Linked DNA regions of Rattus norvegicus. The main gene of each other region encodes a partner of the protein of the gene in region 2 in a complex. Links are inferred from orthologs where the notes say so. Each region holds a gene or a part of one and is shown on either strand. Other genes may lie near its edges.

What was found.
Region 1: Taf10 (region 2) and Taf4 share a complex: the UniProt entries of both Homo sapiens proteins name them as parts of the TFIID basal transcription factor complex. The link is inferred for Rattus norvegicus from reciprocal best matches to the Homo sapiens genes TAF10 and TAF4.
Region 3: Taf10 (region 2) and Taf5 share a complex: the UniProt entries of both Homo sapiens proteins name them as parts of the TFIID basal transcription factor complex. The link is inferred for Rattus norvegicus from reciprocal best matches to the Homo sapiens genes TAF10 and TAF5.
Region 4: Taf10 (region 2) and Taf13 share a complex: the UniProt entries of both Homo sapiens proteins name them as parts of the TFIID basal transcription factor complex. The link is inferred for Rattus norvegicus from reciprocal best matches to the Homo sapiens genes TAF10 and TAF13.
Region 5: Taf10 (region 2) and Taf11l1 share a complex: the UniProt entries of both Homo sapiens proteins name them as parts of the TFIID basal transcription factor complex. The link is inferred for Rattus norvegicus from reciprocal best matches to the Homo sapiens genes TAF10 and TAF11.

The regions. Positions count from the first base shown.
Region 1 is NC_086021.1:187,402,034-187,405,743, forward strand, and holds part of Taf4 (transcription initiation factor TFIID subunit 4), read right to left. Parts: coding exon 3,634-3,710; intron 2,787-3,633; coding exon 2,730-2,786; intron 2,186-2,729; coding exon 2,066-2,185; intron 1-2,065. UniProt on the Homo sapiens protein: The TFIID basal transcription factor complex plays a major role in the initiation of RNA polymerase II (Pol II)-dependent transcription.
Region 2 is NC_086019.1:169,506,333-169,509,808, forward strand, and holds Taf10 (transcription initiation factor TFIID subunit 10), read right to left. Parts: upstream 1,877-3,476; 5' UTR 1,862-1,876; coding exon 1,630-1,861; intron 1,525-1,629; coding exon 1,370-1,524; intron 1,206-1,369; coding exon 1,141-1,205; intron 1,058-1,140; coding exon 943-1,057; coding exon of another isoform or gene 937-942; exon of another isoform or gene 934-936; intron 778-933; coding exon 688-777; 3' UTR 608-687; downstream 1-607. Other genes in the region: Ilk (integrin-linked protein kinase), read left to right, coding at 1-52, 227-376. UniProt on the Homo sapiens protein: The TFIID basal transcription factor complex plays a major role in the initiation of RNA polymerase II (Pol II)-dependent transcription.
Region 3 is NC_086019.1:255,912,561-255,915,763, reverse strand, and holds the end of Taf5 (transcription initiation factor TFIID subunit 5), read right to left. Parts: coding exon 3,189-3,203; intron 2,165-3,188; coding exon 1,987-2,164; intron 1,828-1,986; coding exon 1,650-1,827; intron 1,544-1,649; coding exon 1,326-1,543; 3' UTR 505-1,325; downstream 1-504. UniProt on the Homo sapiens protein: The TFIID basal transcription factor complex plays a major role in the initiation of RNA polymerase II (Pol II)-dependent transcription.
Region 4 is NC_086020.1:198,891,990-198,896,297, reverse strand, and holds the start of Taf13 (transcription initiation factor TFIID subunit 13), read right to left. Parts: upstream 2,967-4,308; 5' UTR 2,924-2,966; coding exon 2,897-2,923; intron 1,755-2,896; coding exon 1,676-1,754; intron 1-1,675. UniProt on the Homo sapiens protein: The TFIID basal transcription factor complex plays a major role in the initiation of RNA polymerase II (Pol II)-dependent transcription.
Region 5 is NC_086028.1:74,278,055-74,282,429, reverse strand, and holds Taf11l1 (transcription initiation factor TFIID subunit 11-like), read left to right. Parts: upstream 1-1,371; 5' UTR 1,372-2,796; coding exon 2,797-3,420; 3' UTR 3,421-3,869; downstream 3,870-4,375. UniProt on the Homo sapiens protein: The TFIID basal transcription factor complex plays a major role in the initiation of RNA polymerase II (Pol II)-dependent transcription.

The DNA.
Region 1 (3,710 bases), on a different chromosome or scaffold from region 2:
TAAGTTACAAGGGCTTACACCTTACAATAATTCAGCAAGCTACAAAAACACGCAGCAGAAAAAGTTCATTGGTATCTTCTAACTCCCCTGGTGTCCTTTTCAAAGTGTGAAGTTGCTACCCAAGGTTTTACTCACTTCTTGGCCTCACTTCTGTGTGAGTTTTGGAGGCCTGTATACTTGAACAGTAGACCCAGTTGCTGCAGCTTTTCAGAGAACACATCTACATAAAGATTCTGGCTGAGATTTTCTTCCTATGCCACACTCAGACGTTTTACCTACCCCTGAACTGAGAGGGATGTCCCTGTACCTCTAGGGTATAGTCTCCACACCCAAAGACTGCTGCACAGGGAGTCACTGCTGGCTCCAGGGCTGGAGATGGGTCAGCAGTCCTTGGCAGGGACAGCACTGACCTGCTGAAGCCACTACCCTAAGCTGACCCAATCTGCTTGCTTCACAGCAGGACAGAACTGCCCAAGCAAAACAGACAGCAGTTTCTATGGGGATAAAGGCAAAATAGACTGAGGCCTGGTGGCAACACGAGAGTTCAACCAAGGTTTTAGCTAAGTTTCGCCAGGATGAAGGGTCATTCTCCATTAAGACTCATGTAAAAAATAGCCAAACACAAACACACAGACAGGGGTGCTGTGTTATACTAGACTAGAAAAAAAAATGCCCCACGTCTGCACAGAGCCATAGGAACAGAATAAACTGAAACAAGTCCAGCCCACATTCTTCAGAGTGTGGAAAACCACCCAGGGGCCTCATCACATCTGATCAAAGATGCCCAGCATTCAGTGATAGGCACTAGACATGCACTGAAACAGGGAAAGGAGAACAGTGAGGGGAAACCGAGGCTGGAAGCTTCAATATATATGTTCAACAACATAGGAGAGTTATAGCCATCATAAAGTGGCAGACAGGGGAAGTCTGCTACTCACTAGAGGGATGCTTGCAAATCCATAGCCTATAGATAGAACATTCCTCATGCTGTGGTGACCCCAGCCATAAAATTATTTCAGTGTGACTTCATAACTGTACCTTTGCTACTGCTATGAATCCTAATGTAAACAGCTGACATGCAGGGTATCTGATATGCAACCCCACAGGGGTCTTGACCACAGGTGGAGACCCACTGCTCTAGGCACGCTCAACTAAAATCAACGTTTTGTAAATGGGAACTGCACTGGAGCTCAACAGCCAACAGGAGCTGGCACAACTCCAATCTGGCCGAGGAACAGGACCCAGTCTGAAGGGCACAGAGGAAATCGGTGATGCAATGAACACGAGCAGTACCACAGTCCAGTGCATGTGTGACTGGGACCACAGCACGGTCCAGTGCATGTGTGACTGGGGACCAAGAGGAAGAGAAATGGGAACAGAGCACACCTGAAGAAAACAATGGCCAATGTGGTGCAAATGTACACTGAGGCAGTCTCACATGTGAGTCTAAGCAGCTCAGGAAATGGAAGAAACAAGTTGACCGCCCAGAGACTGACCCTAAGACACGGAAAATCTCTTAAAGAAAGGCCCCAACGGTCAGCAGTCAGACCAGATTACCACACAGAGGCAAGGACAGGAAAAGTGACAACACGCACCTGCACCCTAGAACTCTATAACCAGTGCAGAGTGCACATGCGAGTGACACATGGACCCAGCATCCTCAGCAGCAGCAGTGACGACCACTGAGTGGACACGCAGGTCTGCCACTGCTCTTCTAAATGCAAACGACAATGGTTTAAAGCATAAAGCATTAGGGCAGCACATAAGACACTCAGACTTTGGGCCCAGTGAACAGGTGAGAACTTCTCTCAGTTACACACCCTACAGATGGCCTCACACTGTCTCCACCAGAGCCAATCCTGAATTCCACCCCATGCGTTTCCGTCAGGTTGAACCACGCAGAGCCGACCATGTGTTTTAGCTCATGTTATATGCACAAAAAGGCTACTTGAAAATCAAGTGTCCAACCAAGACCACACCTTTACGGAAGGCCAGGAACTCCCCTGCCTACTGAAGGAAGGCACTCCCCACACCCTCCAGACCTCGGCCTCGTGTTCTGCTATACCTCTGCTCCCGATCCTGGCCCAGCGCAGTCCACCTTCCTCTTCTTCCTGGGCCCGATGGCTGCCAGTGCAGTGAGGTTGGCATCTCGCTGTCGCATCTGTGCCAGCTCCTGCTGCTGCATCTTCATTGGGAAGGAAACAAAACTCATTGCTTCGAGAGTCTTACTGCAAATGTAGCAACAGCTACCAAGAATTTTCTCAAGTTTCCTAAGTCATAACTTCTTTAGAGTTGAGGCTTTTAAAACTAAGGACATGTCTGTAACCAAAAATATTTACAAGACTTTTTAAACAGAAGCTTACCTTAAAATGCTCAGACAATTAGAAGGGGTTTAGGGAGCCTAATCTCACAGAGAGGGACAGGTACTCTCCAGCCAAATGCAGACAGCACAGAAAGAGCCTGGGCTGATGGGTCCCCCAAGAGGACAAAGGAGCAATGGATGCCCACACTGGCAAACGCCAGGTTTCTTTTTTTTTTTTTTTTTTTTTGGTTCTTTTTTTTTCGGAGCTGGGGACCGAACCCAGGGCCTTGCGCTTCCTAGGTAAGCGCTCTATCACTGAGCTAAATCCCCAGCCCCAAACGCCAGGTTTCTAAGTATTGTCTTTTATGTGGGCACCAAGCATGACCACGAACTGCAAGTGCAGTAGAGGCCAAACAGAGAAACTCACCTCCTTTGCTTTCTGCTTCAACCTTAATTGCTCTGGGTCTTCTTGTCTGGATCGAGACTATTTTTGAAAGAAGGAAAAAACAAGAGTCATGCCTTCCATGAACATTACTGAACCCACAGTACCCTGTCCATCTACAGCAGCATTTAGCCAGATGACAGAGTTCCTGCAAATTCTATACATGTTTACATCCAAATGACAAAAATTTAGGTAATAATGGGCCATGAAAAAAATGTCTTTGATACCATCCAGACGCAGTGAGAGAGTCTTAGACATATGGCTACCAGTTTGTCATATGCCTCTGACTCAATGTAGACTGGGAAAGAGCTGGGACAGAGCTCCCAGTCGTGTTGGGCTCAGCAGCTAGTGAGGCTGGCATTCAGCTACCACTCCTCCTACTGCACAAAAAGCTGACACTGGAATTAACATTTCTGGATGACTCTAATCATAAAGTTCCTATACTTAGCTCTGAATGCTCTAGACTGAAAGGCTATATGAACCCACAGGGAAGGGAAGAGGTCAGAATTCTAAGATTTAAGCCCATACCATAGTGTTACACACCTTTAATCCCAACACTCAGAAGGCAGAGGCAGGAAGATCTCTGTAAGTTCAAGGCCAGCCTGGTCTACAGTGAGTTCCAGGACAGCCAGAGCTACATAATGAGTCCTTATTTCAAAAATAAAGCAAAACATTTTTAAAATTAATTAATTAACTAACAAAATGAGAGCTACATCTCTTCTACCAATCTCTAACTGGAGCCAGGCTTCTGCCTCACCTATCCAGCTTCACTCACAACACCCTTCTTTCCACACTTGCCAGAAATGGCGGTGAGCACAAGCCAGTGCCTGGTGAGCAGCTAGGAGGGGGCAGCAAGCTGAGCCTGAGCTGCAGATGGGGTTTAACTTGCCTTTGCTGCCCGCATCAAGATCTCCCTCTCCTGCTCATCTTTCCTCTGCTTTTCAATCTGATCCAACTGTTCAAAGA
Region 2 (3,476 bases):
GACACGAGAGGTGCCCTTTGCTGACCTTTCTAATATGGAGATTGGAATGAAGGTGAGCACAGAACTGCAGATACTTGTGTGGGGATAGTGGTGCTGACATCACTGTGGTAAGCCCTTCCTGCAGTGTATACAGATCTATAGTAATCCTACCATTCAAGGGTCAAAGGCTTTTGCCCATATGATGAACTCAAATTCAGAAGCTCACCTTGTTCTGTATAATTTGCAGGTGGCACTGGAAGGCCTTCGGCCTACTATCCCACCAGGTATTTCCCCCCACGTGTGTAAGCTCATGAAGATTTGCATGAATGAAGACCCTGCAAAGCGACCCAAGTTTGACATGATTGTACCTATCTTGGAGAAGATGCAGGACAAGTAGGACTTGAAGGTCCCTGCCCAAACTTCAGAAGTATCAGCATATGGCTGGGGGAATGCACTTCCCCGAAGCTGAAGATCTCTGGTTGCCTCCCCTGTCTCTAATCATGGTACTACCCCAGTTATGGGGCTTGTTCCCTGCTCCCATCCCTACCACTGTAGCCCCAGAGAGGGCTGGGCTCAGAGCTTTGTCACTTGCCACTTGATGTCTCCCAACATGGGAGGGATCAGCCCCGCCTGTCACAATAAAGTTTATTATGAAAACAGGCTCATGTGGGGACAGAGGGGAAGACAAATACATCTGGGTTGGGTGGCTCAGGTGAAGTAGTGCGGCTTCTTCACATTGATGCCATACTCGCTGAGGGCAGGGGTCAAGTCCTCCATGGTTAGGGTGTACTTGCGATCCTGGGGGAAAGAGGGAAGACCACCAGCTGAGCACAGCAAGTCCAGATTCCAGTCCTTTGTGGGTAACCCTGAGTAGGCCCAATACCTCCCCTAGGATGCTGCTTCCCCAAAAGGCTTTCAGGATAAGTTAAGTCTGTACTGCTGTGGAAGGCGAACCTCTCACACCTTGCTCTTGCTCCGGGAGCTGCCAGAGGCTGTACCCTTCATTTTGCAGTGCTGTAGGGCATCATTGGCAATATCTGAGATGAATTTCTGGGCAGCTAGTGAGATGAGCCGAATTCTAGAGAGGAAGGGGGTGGTGGTAATGAGATATTTAACAAACTCCACCCAGCACTCAACAGTCTAACCTCTGAGTTTACTCACATGCGTGGGTCTGAAGCTTCAAAGCCAGCACGGTTCAGGTAGTAACCAGTCACTGCATCCGGGATCTGAAAAATCAAATAGCCGTCATTATTAGCTCTGCCTACTGATGCGCTGGGTGGGGAGGAAGAATAAAGAGACAGCTTCCTAGTAGAGGACGCTTGAAAGCATGAAGGTGCGGTTGAAAGGCACGACAGCGAGGCAGGTGGCCTTGTACAGGCGGGAAGCCCACCGTAGGTGTATAATCCTCCAACTGCATCAAGAAGTCCACTAGTGGTGTGCTGGACACTACGGGCTTCACTTCTCCGTTGGCCGCGCTCGGTAGGGCGTAAACCCCGTTAGACATTGCCCCCTCAGGGGGAGCCGCGCCGCCTGCTGCCACCGAAGCTGAAGGAGAATCAACAACACAGGTGAGAAGCGCAGGGTCCCCCCAACCCCCGCTGCGGCACCCAGTCGGAGATTCCCCCCTCCCTCACCCGGCCCGGAGCTCACCCGGTCCGCGCCGCTCCGCGGGCTCCCCTGCCCGTGCCGCCACGGGGCCCGTGCCTGCAGTGGCGACTCCAGCTCCAGGGCCCCCTGCTGTCCCCGCGGGGCTGGCTTTGCTCTCCGCGGCCGTGCTAGTGGGCAGCGCAGCGGGAGCGGACACCGGGGGCGCCGGACCCGCGACCGAGGCGGCACAGGCTGGCGCCGCCTCGGGGTCCGCGCCGGAGCCGCTGCAGCTCATGGGGCTGGTGGGAAAGGCGGCAACCAGAGCTACTTCCGCTTCCGCTCGCCCAGGCGCACGTTGCGTGACGTCACAGTTCCCGCCCCACCGCTTTAGTCCGCCGCGGGCGACCTTAGGTTGGCTGTTGGCAGATTAGGTGTAGACTGGCAGAGGTAAACTGTGAAAGACCTAGCCTCCACCCTGCGGCTCAACCCTGCCCAGATGGGACCGCGAAGAATCCAGGACTGCACACTTCATTTCATCTGGGTGCGCAGATTTGACTTGGGGACTCATATGTCAGATACTTCATTACCAGTCTCCTTAACAGTCTTCATTCTTTGTCGCTCCCTTTCACTGTCTTTAAGGATTTTAGTGGATTTGGTGTGTGTCCCTCCCACCCACAACGGTCCTAGAAGCGTGCTGCTGTAAATGTAGAGATAGGTGTTTCACCCCGAAGAAATAACATGCCAAAGTCACATGTGAAGCACATTAGCAATTCAACAGTCATTTATTTAATTTCTATTTGCCAACTACAGGGTTGGGACCTAGGAATACAAAGTTAAGAATCAGATTCTAGTTCACTAGCACCAAGCTCTGGAAAAGGAAGGCAGACAATTTTAATACTGTATGGTTGTTTCCCAGATACACGTAGGTGGAGTGCAAGGAAGTAGGGAACTAACATCAGCTGCTTAATTCCAAGTGTCAGACATTAGCAATGTTTATTTCCCAATTTTGAAGGCAGGTTTCAATGTCCCTGACTTTTACCCAGTAATCTTTGAAGGGTTTGCACAAATAAATATACTGTTTGGTTTAGAAGATGACTTACCCATGGTCAAGGATGCTGAGGGGCTTTGGAAGGCTCTCCCCTACCCAAGTACTTCCTGCAGTTTAGAGGAAAAAGGACATGGGCTCAAAGATAATGCAGTAGTGTGTGTGTGTGTGTGTGTGTGTGTGTGTGTGTGTGCGTGCGCGCGCGCGCGCGCGCGCGTGCACGCACGTTTGTGTATTTTCGAGACATGGTCTCACGTAGGCCTGGCATGCCTGGAACTCTTTGTATAGACCAGGATGGACTCAGAGAGGCTTGCCTGGTCTCTGCCTCCTAAGTGCTGGGATTAAAGGTGAGCATCACCACGCTAGCTGATAAAGACATATCTGGAGAAGTAGTCAGTAAAACTTGTTGAAGTTAGTAGGGAGGTGAAAAAAAATGAAAATTAAGAGTTACAGGTTTCTGGCTTGTTTGAAAGAGGCATTATATCACAGACTAAGAGATGAAATAGTTTAGGTCTGGGCTGGAGGGAGATGAAGTAATGAGGTATCTTACATTTGAGATGTCAGTGATCTATCAAGGGATGTTAATAAAATATGAGTAAAAACCTACGGATGGAACAATGAACACCAGCATCCCATAATTAGTTGAAAAGGAGGACAGTTAGTGTGGTCAAAGGGGGTATACACTGAGCAAAAAAGGAATGGGAAACTGACGGAAAGAACGAACACCCAGGTTCACAGAAGCTAGATGTTTGTGAATGTCTGACAGTTGAAATTAAAACCTGAATGCTGCTTTGGTGTAGCCAAGAAGGGGAAAATAAAATGTAAATTTACAAATAATTTACAAAAAAAAAAATCACTGAAGCAA
Region 3 (3,203 bases), about 86 Mb from region 2:
ATTCTAGGGGATCTGACAACCCTTTTCTGATGTCATTAGGCACCAAGCGCACAAGTAGCACATACACACGTGCAGGCAGAACACATAAAATTAACAAACATTTAAGTGTTACTCTGTATACTCAATTTTTTTCCAGTAGTAATTTTTTTCCAGTAGTTTGCTTTTAAAGCTATACTGAATTGTTGGCAGTTTCAACAACTACTTAAAACTGTTAAAACTGGAACATCAAACTACCAGCCTGAGGGAGATGCGTATGCACATACAAACACACACATATATTATATATGCCCTACTTACGAACCTTAGTGAATGTACACTTTACTTCAGAGACTTGTGGTAATTACTGATTGTTGAAAAATAGAGTACAACGTTGTGTGTCAAACTGTTTTTGCTTTGTTTATAGGATTTTGAAATGTCTGGCCTTATCTGTTAAGTCCCACGCCTGAAGAAGCTGATGTGAACTCATCATGTAATACTCAATTTGTACAATAAATTATGAACCTGGAAAAGCTGGTTGTCTTTATTTACAAGATATCAAAAATATAAAACTGTACAAAATGCAACAAAGGCAAAAACTGGCAGTGACTTGGTCTAAATCTCTTAGTTTTCCAAAGCAAGGCTCAGTACTGGAGGTAAGCAACTGAAATGTCTGTCTGACTTCAAGTGTACTAGGTCATATGTAGCCACGTTAGCTGAAGTAGAATGGAATCTAAACCTCTTCACCTGTTTTCTAAGTGTTTGATTGCACTCCAAACTTACACAGTAGGAGCTGAGATGTTGTGGGTGGTTATACATCTAGGTCTTAGGAAATGTGATCTCCTACCCAGTTACATACAGCCCGCTAATCACGGGCGAAGAAAAGCATGTTAGTGGTCATTTAACACACTGCTTGAGTGCCGTACAATAACGTCATTTACAGCAGACACACACATGCTCATAGAACTCTTCAGCTACTCAAGATGGTACTATATTTCTTAACTTGAATCTTGAAGCAGAATGAATTGTTTAAATCAAATTGATTTTTTTTCTAGACATAATAAATTAAAATAGCATTTGAACAAAAAAATGCATAGTTTCCACACAATCCAAAGCACCATAATGTCCTCTCCACGAACATAATACCTCTTATTCAACTAACGGAAATTAGTTAAATGTGGTTGCTATAGAAACGTGGAACTGTCCTGTTCAGATTTTCCAAGCAGCATACTTCCAGATCCATGTAGACAAAAACATTCTTTGTAGCTTAAATACTAATCACTGAGGTATTTGCTTTTAGTCTCCCTTTTCCAAACAGTAGCTTCCAAAAGGTCTCTAATACCGTTGGTTTATTGCGGACTGTAAGCTCCTGCAGCTAGAACCAAGTTTCTTCTTGTAAAATGTAGGTGTACGACTGGTGTTGATTTGGTCATGTATGTACCCAACAGTAACTCCTGGGAATTCTCAGGTAGATTTATATGCCCAGTGGCTGTAGTAAAGTCATCAGTTTCTAAATCTTCAAATGCTTTGATGGCATCCCATAACCGAACTGTGTTATCCATCGAACCTAAAAGAGACGCCAAAGGAAACCATTAGTGTGCAGCTGTCACATCAGGAGTCTCACGATACTTTGTGTTCACCGAGTTTTGTTTTACCCCAAAGACATTATTTACCTGATGCCAAAATCTCACCATCTCTACTAAACCTAAGTGAACACACTGTATCAGTGTGGCCTTTTAATTCTCCAACCATCAAGCCATGTCCGATATCCCAAAGAAGTACTCTGCCATCTGTTGCTCCTGTAGCCAGGAATCTCCCATTGGGAGAAAATGTCAAGGAATGAATTGGTCCCTAAAAAAAAGAACAAAGGAGAATTAAGTATCTGATAAGAGCAAGGTAGAATTGTAGTTTAATAGCATGACTGTTATCTTTAAAGAGTTTATGCTACTGGTTAAATATTTCAACTTGGAAAGCATCGTTGTGTGCTGGAATAATGAGGGTGTGAAATACCTTGTGTCCAGTGAAGATCCTTACACAGTTACCATTGAGGACGTCCCAGAGCCGCACGGTTCTGTCTGCAGAGCCCGTAGCAACATAGTTGGAATTTGGATGAAATCTAGTGCAATTCACATCAGCAAGATGGCCAGCGAATATCCTTAAAGGCTGATAGTGATCTGTAGCCCAAAGCCTGAAAATAAAAATATTAATTTAAATAATAATATGTAACCCAAAATAGAGGTGTATCAGGTGAGAGTCAATTCCAAATGGTTCCTCCTTGTTATCTAATGGAAGGAAAGAGTAAGTGGGACTAATGTTTTCTTTTTTGAGATAATGTCTGGTATAGCCCAAGCTGGCTGTGAACTCACTCTCCTATTTAGTTTGAGACAGGGTCTCACTTTGTAGCTGTCCTGGAATTCACTATGTAGAATTCACTCTGACTAGCCTTGAACTCAAGAGATCCCCCTACCTCAGCCTTCCAAGTGCTAGGGCTAAAGACGTGCCAGCATGCCCAGTTCCCGAATGCTGGGATTACAGGCATATAAATTAGCTTTTTTGGTTTTATTTTGTTTGTTTTGAGACACGGTTTTTCTGTATAGTCCTAGATATCCTGGAACTTACCCTTAGACCAAGCTGGCCTCAAAATTCAAAGATCTACCTGATTCTGACTCCCAAGTACTGGGATTAAAGGTGTGCACTGATAACTGTCTGACTTAAATTTATTTTTATTTTATATGCATTGGTGTTTTGCCTACATGCATGTCTGTGTAAGGGCGCCAGATCCCAAGGAACTAGAGTTCCAGTCAGTTGTGAGCGGCCATGTATGTGCCAGGAATTGAACCTGGGTCCTCTAGAAGAACAGTCAGAACTCAACTGCTGAGCCATTTCTCCAGCCAGCATATAAACGCTTATTCTTTTATACCCACCTCCCCACTCCTAATGAACAGAAAACCATTTTCCTATAATTTGGGCAACCACATAGTTTCTAACAAAAATTACTTCAAAGGGGACTTTAGAGTAACAGGAAGCAGGGCCCTCGGTGTAGACCCTGGAGGGAGAAATATTCCCCTCTCACATTTTCAAGTTACAGCTGTGAATTATCTTCTCCAAAAGTTAATCCTGAATAGCATGAAAATACGGCTTGCTGGACTTTGTGTTCTTGACAAGATACAGTTATATCCAGTGAGTAAACCCCATTAGATCAGTGTTCTTACCGAGCTACGCGGTCA
Region 4 (4,308 bases), on a different chromosome or scaffold from region 2:
TTTCGATCCCACTGCATCCAGGCATTTATAAATCTATGCTGCTACACTTCTCAATGCTCAGACAAGGTCCCTGGGCACGGGGATGGAGAGGGCATTCTCAGGAATTAGTATTGGCATGACAAGAGGAAACAGCTCACCCTGCTGCTCTAAGGATTTAACTTGTCTGCCTAAGGAGTATGATGGAAGGTTAACGACACTGTTAGTACCCCAGACTTCACTTTCTTGCCCTGATCAGTGCCTTAGTCCAAAGCCTCAACTTACATCGTTTGAAAGGTGGACACAAGAGGAATATAACATCATAGTCATCCCCAGCTACGTAATAAATACAAGACCAATCTAGGGTACATGAGACCCTGCTAAACACAGAAAGGGAAAAACAACAACAAAAACAAAGCAAACAAAAAAACAGAAAGGGGGAGGGGCAGCGGTGCAATGAATGTAGCTCAGTTAGTAGCTGAGTGCTAGCCTAACACACACAACTAGGGTCAATCCTTAGCTAAACAAACTGGGAATCATGACATATGGGCCTATGTGTAGCACGAGGGATACAGACAGGAGAAGTTCAAGGTCATACTCATCTACATACCAAGGTTGAAACCATACTGGGATATAAAAACCCTGCCTCAGCTGGGTGGCTGTGGTTCACAGTGTCAATCCCAGCACTTAGGAGGCAGAGGCAGAGGTGGAGGCATATGTATCTCTCTGTGAGTTCAAAACTAGCCTGATCTGCAGAATGAGCTCTAAGACAGCCAGAGCTACACAGAAAAACCCTGTCTCAAAAACCTCAAAGAGGGCTGGAGAGATGGCTGAGTGGTTAAGAGCACTGACTGCTCTTCCAGGAATCCTGAGTTCAATTTCCAGCAACCACATGGCAGCTCACAACCATCTGTAATGAGATCTGGTGCCCTCTTCTGGTGTGTCTGAAGACAGTTACAGTGTAATTATAATCAATCAATCAATCTTAAAAAAAAACTAAAAGAGGGGTTGGGGATTTAGCTCAGTGGTAGAGCGCTTGCCTACCAAGCGCAAGGCCCTGGGTTCGGTCCCCAGCTCCGAAAAAAAAAAAAAGAAAAGGAAAAAAAAAAAACTAAAAGAAATAAAATAAAAAAAACCCACCTCAAAGTGTATGTGTGGGTGGGGGGGAATCACATTCATTATTTTACGTCACAAAGAGAGAATTAGTATACATGATAAAGAGACTTATACCAACCACAGGAGGCACACCGGCAATCCCAATACTTGAGAGGCTAAGGCAGGAGGACTACCGCCACCCAAAGCTAGCTTGGGCTAAACAGTGAGCACCAATATAGCCAAGCCTATGCAGAGCCTATCTTTAAAAAAAAAGAAAGCAAAAACAAGGGGAGCTAGAAAGATGGCTCAGCAGTTAAGAGCACTAACTGCTCTTCCAGAGGTCCTGAGTTCAATTCCCAGCAACCACATGGTGGCTCACAGCCATCTGTAATGGAATTGATGCCCTCTTCTGGTACTCATATACATAAAATAATTTTTTTTTAAAAAAAAAGCAAAAACAAACAGGAATAAAAACAACCTTACAGGCAAGTCTGAGAACACTGTCCCTCTAAGCAAACATATGCAGAGCAATGTACCTACTCTCCAAGGACATGTTTAAAAGCTCTCACCACCTGTAATAAAAGCATTGGAAAGTACAACTTACGTTCTTTAGAGAAAAGTCTCTTTCTCTTCCCCTGGCCACCTTCTGCTCCTCCTCCAATTTCTTCATTTTCCTCCTCAAACTAGAAATTTAAAAATACAGAAATGTCAAATGATGGCAGTGCACGTGATATTCTCCAGAGTCTCCTCCTGCTCTCTCTTTTGAGTGCTATGAATTGAACCTAGGAGCTCACGATTCTAAACAGTTAATTGACCACTGAGCTACACTCCAGTGCCCTTTTCATCTTTTTTTGAAAGACATTTATTATTTATATGTATTGTGTGTGCCTACATTGACTATGCCTGCAAATGCCCGTAGAGGCCAAAAAAGGGGTCTAACTGCTGTAGGTAGCCAGATGCACTAAAGCAAAATCTCTAGACTTTTTTTTTTTTTTTTTTTTTGAGACAAGGTATGTGCCCGTCTGCCTGGAACTCAGAGATCCTTTTCTGAGTGCTGGGATTCAAAGTGTGCACCACCATGCCCAGTGACCCTTTTGCATTTTCAAAAGTGGTAAGCTAAGGCAAACAGCACAAAGTCATAGAAACTTAGCATCAGAGGGCTCTTATGTCCTATTCCACTTCTCAAGTCGTGCAAGAAGTCTTTTATTACGGCTCCTAACTAACAACCCTACCCGGGGTGTGTGTGTGTGTGAAGTTCAAATGGACGTCAGGTTCTGGGTTTGGTTTTAGCCCATTTAGTTGTCATACTGCTAAGCAATGCTACTACTGTAAAAGACCTGATAGTTTAAAATCTACTCTCTGCTGCCATCAGAAGCAACATTTACTAAGCACCTGTCAATACAGGGCTAAAAACTTTCCTTAACTGGGCTTGACCCTATCTCACGACAAGAAAACCGATGCCTTAAGTTAAATAACTCCAAAGGAGAATCTGGATCTCAAACTTCCTGACTTTAGTTCATCTTTTCTCCACTATTTTCACTAGTTTTGTTAGCAGATGGGCTGCTGGTTCCGCAGTATTTGCTTTGATCTCCTATGACTCTCTAGACTCTCAGTGTCAGGAAGATCCAGATCAAAAGGAGATCCTGTCTACTTTTCCTTCCCTTCCTGCCCCACGCACTGACTAAGGTAAACCGAAGGAAGAGGAAAACACCGCGGAGACCCCGAACTCTCGGCGGGATTCCCTAAGGCTCAGGAGGGTCAGACTCTGCCTCCGCTAGTGAGCCAGAGGGAGTGAGGAAACAGGCTGTGACGGGCGCTCACTCACGGTGGGATCTTCCTCCTCATCTGCCATGCTAGCAGCCCGCCAGCCTTCTGAGCCCGCCCAAGGGCGGCTCGCAAGATTTATAAGATATGTGCGTCACTTCCGGCCTGGCCGGAGTTGCGCAGATGGGTGTGCACTCTCATTCTCCTAACCCCGGCCTTGAGATTGGCTGAAAATCAGTGACGCGTACTTAGGCGTGGAATCCTGAAGAAGGGATTAAAAATTACAAAGATGCCAGGCGTGGTGTACTATACCGAAAAAATTCCGTGCACTTGGCCGAGGCAAGAGAGCTTAGAGTTCGAGACCACTCAAGCTTCATGAGCCCATATCTCAGAAATCATAAATGATAAATTTGTGCATACTAATGGAGACTCCCAAATGCCTGTAATTCCAGCTCCAGGGGAATATGATGAATTTTTGCCTCTGGGGCTGATGCATTCAAGTACACAAGCCCACATAGATATACTTTTTAAAAATATATATATAATCTTTATGTATATGAGTGTTTTGCAGACACGCATGTGTACCATGTGTTCGCAGCGCCAAAGAGGCCAGAAGAGAGCAACTAATTCCCTGAAACTAGAGTTAGATGATTGTGAACCGCTATGTAGGGGCTGGGAATCAAACTCAAGTCTTTGGAAAAGCAGCCAATGCTCTTAGCTGCAGAGCAATCTTTCCTGCCTCCGTAATTTTGTGTGTGTGTGTGTGTGTGTGTGTGTGTGTGTGTGTGTGTGTGTGTGTGTACATTGGGTTTTATGAGGGGGGTGGGTTTGGGTTTGGTTTTTTAATTACAAAAGATGTGCGGGAGAGATGGTACAGTCAGTGAAAGCTCTCACGGAATAAGACTAATATTCAGGTTTAATCCCTGGGCCTATATAAAAAGTGAAAGGTAAGAAGACAGATTCCACAAGGCTGTCCTCTGGCTTCCATACACAGTAATAAGTAAAACATTTTAAAATTATCAAAGAGCTAAGTGTGATGGCACACGTCTTTAATCCCTGCCTGGGGAGGCAGAGGCTGGAAAATCTCTGAGTTCAAGGTCAGCAACAAACAAAACAGCAGAGACATTAAATGCATTAGAAAGCTGGCAGCACAGAAAAGGTAGAAATAGGGCATAAAGGAAAAAATAAAAAGCAAAGGACTATGGACAATGCTAGCAGGGCTATAAACTATGAAGTGTGGATAAATTCAACCCTCTTAACTCAAACTCCAAAACAGAAACCGGGAATAACAAAGCAATGTAATGAGTAGATCAGACACAGAGCAGAGGGAACAGCCTGGGGTTCTTCTACAATTTCAGAGTGGACTCCAGAGTCCAGTTTAGGGTTGGAGGAAAGATATCAAATGACAGAAAAGTATCTCATAGCCAGCCATTCCTGAGGGTGGACAGGGCTCAGAGGGCAAGGACCTAGAGA
Region 5 (4,375 bases), on a different chromosome or scaffold from region 2:
GTGTAGTGGCTGCCTAGCCACAAAGTATTGCCTTACCTGAACAAATTCTTCATTAAATCTGCCAAAGGGGAACTGTTAGGAGCAGCTACGTCTCAACAAAAGATAAATAACTTTAAGTCTCAAATTTTGTGGATTTCTGACGTTTTTGAAGACCATCCATCTATATAAGACAATCTGGACTGTTGTTTTCATATCTTAATATTTTTTTTTTGGTTCTTTTTTTTCGGAGCTGGGGACCGAACCCAGGGCCTTGCGCTTCCTAGGTAAGCGCTCTACCACTGAGCTAAATCCCCAGCCCCTTCATATCTTAATATTATCTTGAAAGTGCTCTCACAAAGTCAGAGCCATGAATGTGCTATTTGGCCCTTAACTCACATATGTAATCAACTCAGAAGTTTGTATTGACATAATTAGAAGGACTGGCTCTAAACCTTGTACTTTTAAACTTTTTTGACAAATAAATTCTATACCAAAACAAAGATATGATTTTAGCTTAGTTACCAAATGAGATAATGACTCTACAACTCAATCTAGCTAATTCCTCCCTGTTAAATTACAACCATTTCTAAGTTCCTCATAAAAACAACTTTAGAATAACTGCTTTCAGCCCCCCAAAAGTCCAGGGAATTGGGGCGACGACTCCTCCATAACTTCCTCAAGCTGTACATGGGCGTTGAGCTATCCTTGGGGGTAGGAGGCAGGAAGAATGAAGCAAATGCTGAGCAGATGTGTCCTGACTGGACCCAGCCGAAAGTCCTTGAGACCAGGAATCCAAGGAGGCACACAATACAACAATCAAGACAAAATATAACCATAATATATATAACCATAAAACTCAAGGTCACGGGCTGGAGAGATGGCTCAGTGGTTAAGAGCCCCGACTGCTCTTCCAGAGGTCCTGAGTTCAATTCCCAGCAACCAAATGTAGACACCCCATCTCTGACTTCCTCACCAGCGGTGCCTAGGTATCCAGAGAGGAAACTGGGAACCACACCATTCAACCCAGACCCCTCTGTTCCCATTCTAGTTCTGTGGGTAGCAGTGCCTGACATCATCCAGAAGGGAAACATTCACTGTGGACCCCCTGTTCTGGCTTTTGTTATGCCGCTCAGGGCTGGCATGATGGTGGCTGCTAGACACCTCCAGCAGAGGCAGAATGCAGTATGACATCAGAGCAATGTGAGTTCTTTATTTTTTATTTAAAAAGACAGCCAAGAGCTGGAGAGATGGCTCAGTGGTTAAGAGCACTGACTGTTCTTCCTAGCAACCACATGGTGGCTCACAGCCATCTGTAATAGGATTTGATGCCCTCTTCTGGTGTGTCTGAAGATAGCTACACTGTATTCATATACATAAAATAAACACATTAATTTTAAAAAAAGTCAGCCAAATCTTTATTGGGAAATGGGTCCCTAGGAAGTGAGCCTGGGGCCCTCGTTGCACATCTTGTTCCTTAGCACTGTTCCAAGAATTCCTTTTTTTTTTTCTTTCTTTCTTTTTTTCAGAGCTGGGGACCGAATCCAGGGCCTTGCGCTTGCTAGGCAAGCGCTCTACCACTGAGCTAAATCCCCAACCCCTGTTCCAAGAATTCTTTTTTTTTTTGGGGGGGGGGTTCTTTTTTTTTCGGAGCTGGGGACCGAACCCAGGGCCTTGCACTTCCTAGGCAAGCGCTCTACCACTGAGCTAAATCCCCAACCCCCCAAGAATTCTTCATCGCGTCTCGTGTTGTGGAGAACTAGAAAAGGTGTAAATATTGCAGGCCTTCAAAGGCATCGTCTGCTCTGAAAGCCAGGTCCACTGTGACTGAGGGCCTGTGGCTTTGCTACCTGTTTAGTGAACCATGTGCTCGACTCCTTGGCCTCAATGAAGTTGGTGGTCTTCTTGTGCCGGATCATGAGAAACACTTCCATCCCTGTGACTGACTGCTTCTGACTTGATGCACCAGACCTGAGCAGTGTCAACAACAGGCATTAAATATTTTAATTGTGTGCAGTGCAGACCTGGCGCAGACGCGGTCCACGCCCAGCGAAACCGCCCATTCGACAGCTGGGGAAGAACGAAGTGGGCACACTTGTAGGAGCTTCCCGAAGTGCTCGCCTTCCCAAAGATTTGGGAACCTCATGGGACTGGAAATGATCCTCATTGGTCCAGGCACTGTAGAAACAAAAGAAATGTGGGAACGGGATACTAGCTCTGTTCTGACGGGAGGCAGGTAGCCAATAGTTGAAGCATTGAATGAAATCGTTGGATATATTCTATTGGCACTAGAGATGCTTGCGGTACAGAAGAGAAGCCCAAGCAGTTCCCTGGTGGACCCAAGCCGCGGATCTCAGTTCTTTGGAAAATACGAGGTTGAGTCTCTGCCGGAAATTGCTCAGTCCAAGGCAGCAACAAGCAGCCGGACGGAGTTTTCGCCCCGTTCCGGACTTTGCGCTCAAGTTAACGGATTAATTGGCATTACATTTCCAGGAAGGAAGGAAAAAAAGAAGTCTCTCGGTAAACGAATTGTACGCCCTTTCGAACACGCTTCTACCCTAAAGCGGAGGATCTATACTTTTACATTTCTTTCTGGTTAAAACAAAGTCAGTATACAAGAAGACCCTGAGCGATCGAGACTCTGAAAATGACCCCTCCCAGGAGCCGTGGGCGTGACGTCATCGCGGCGCGACCACAAGCAATAAGGACCAGCTCCAAGCCATAAGCCTCAGCTATAATATAAGTCCCGCGGCAAAACTCGCTGACCCTCACTCCTTCGCCCGGCCGCGCTGCCTTCGCCTCTAACCCCCTCCTGTCGCGATGGAAAACCTTGGAGAGTCGCCCACGGACAAAGGCGGGGAGTCAGAGGAGTCGAGGGCTACTCCTGGGAACCCGTTAGCGGCAGACACTGAGGGAATCCCTGAGGAAACCGATAGGGATGGAGACGTGGACTTGAAAGAAGCCGCGGCAGAGGAAAGGGAGACCAAGAGTCAGGATGTCTCAGGTTTGACAGCAGTTGAGAGGGAAGACTCATTTCTTACTCCTGCAGCCAAAAAGCTGAAACTAGAAACCAAAGACAAGAAGGAGAAGAAGCAGAAGGTGGACGAAGATGAGATTCAGAAGATGCAAATCCTGGTCTCTTCTTTTTCTGAAGAGCAGCTGAACCGTTATGAAATGTATCGCCGGTCAGCTTTCCCGAAGGCAGCCATTAAAAGGCTGATCCAGTCCATCACTGGCACCTCTGTGTCTCAGAATGTTGTGATCGCCATGTCTGGCATTTCTAAAGTTTTTGTCGGGGAGGTGGTAGAAGAAGCCCTGGATGTGTGTGAGAAATGGGGAGAAATGCCACCCCTGCAGCCCAAGCACATGAGGGAGGCCGTGCGGAGGTTGAAGTCCAAGGGGCAAATCCCCAGCTCAAAGCACAAGAAAATCACCTTCTTCTAGATCTAACAGAGACTGTTCAAGACTTTCCGTATAGTTGGGCTTCTGTACTGAGGCTTTGTTGGTGGTGAGCCCAGGACACTTGATGCTGACTTTAATGTTTCTGTTACACCTACAAGGCACGTAGTGTGCCTCAGACTTGCCTTCACTCAGTCATAGACTGTCCTCAGGCATGTTGAAGAATTTCACAGACTCTTGGCTATTTTTAAGAAAAAATACACAGGGACTGTTAGTATCTCCTGGAGAGGGAGATGATTTCAGAGAAAAACAAGACAACTACAGTTTCACATTGAAGCCTAAAGTGGCTAAGATTCAGGTTGTTTCGAAACAAACTTTCTCAATAATCTGCTGTGAAGACAGTCACACCATAATTCGATTCTCACCGTTAACATTTCAGGTTGTCCTGTGTATTTTGTGAGGGATTATTAAACTTTTCCAACCTGTGTGGGAAACTTTGTTTTATTTTGTTGCAGACAAAACTTATTGTCCTTCCAATAAAACTTGGATTTTTTTTCCTTGTTTAAAAATACAAAACAAAACTTTTAATTGCCCTGGGGCTGAGTTTCTCTGACCCTGACCCAGAATGGTTGAATTCAATTTGACATGCCCTGTAGGAGGCCCCTTAGGGGGTTAATCTGAATTCATTAGCCTACTACTGGGCTTTGCCACACCTTATGCCTACTGCAGAAGGCTGAGCTTTCTTTTGGATTACTTCTAGAAAAACAACAACAACGAAAAACATTGTGCCTACGAATGCCTCGCCTATAATCCCTTTTCAAATGACATCTGACATTTTCCTTTTTCTTAAGACTCTGAGAAATTACTTCTATCAGATTAGCATAAGTGTGAGATCCAATATCTCTAATTCATTCCTCTACTGGTGCTGATGGTACCTTTAACGGTCTGATCAACCTTTTGCATTCTGAATTAGCATTTTCAAAAGCCTAGGATTCAATTA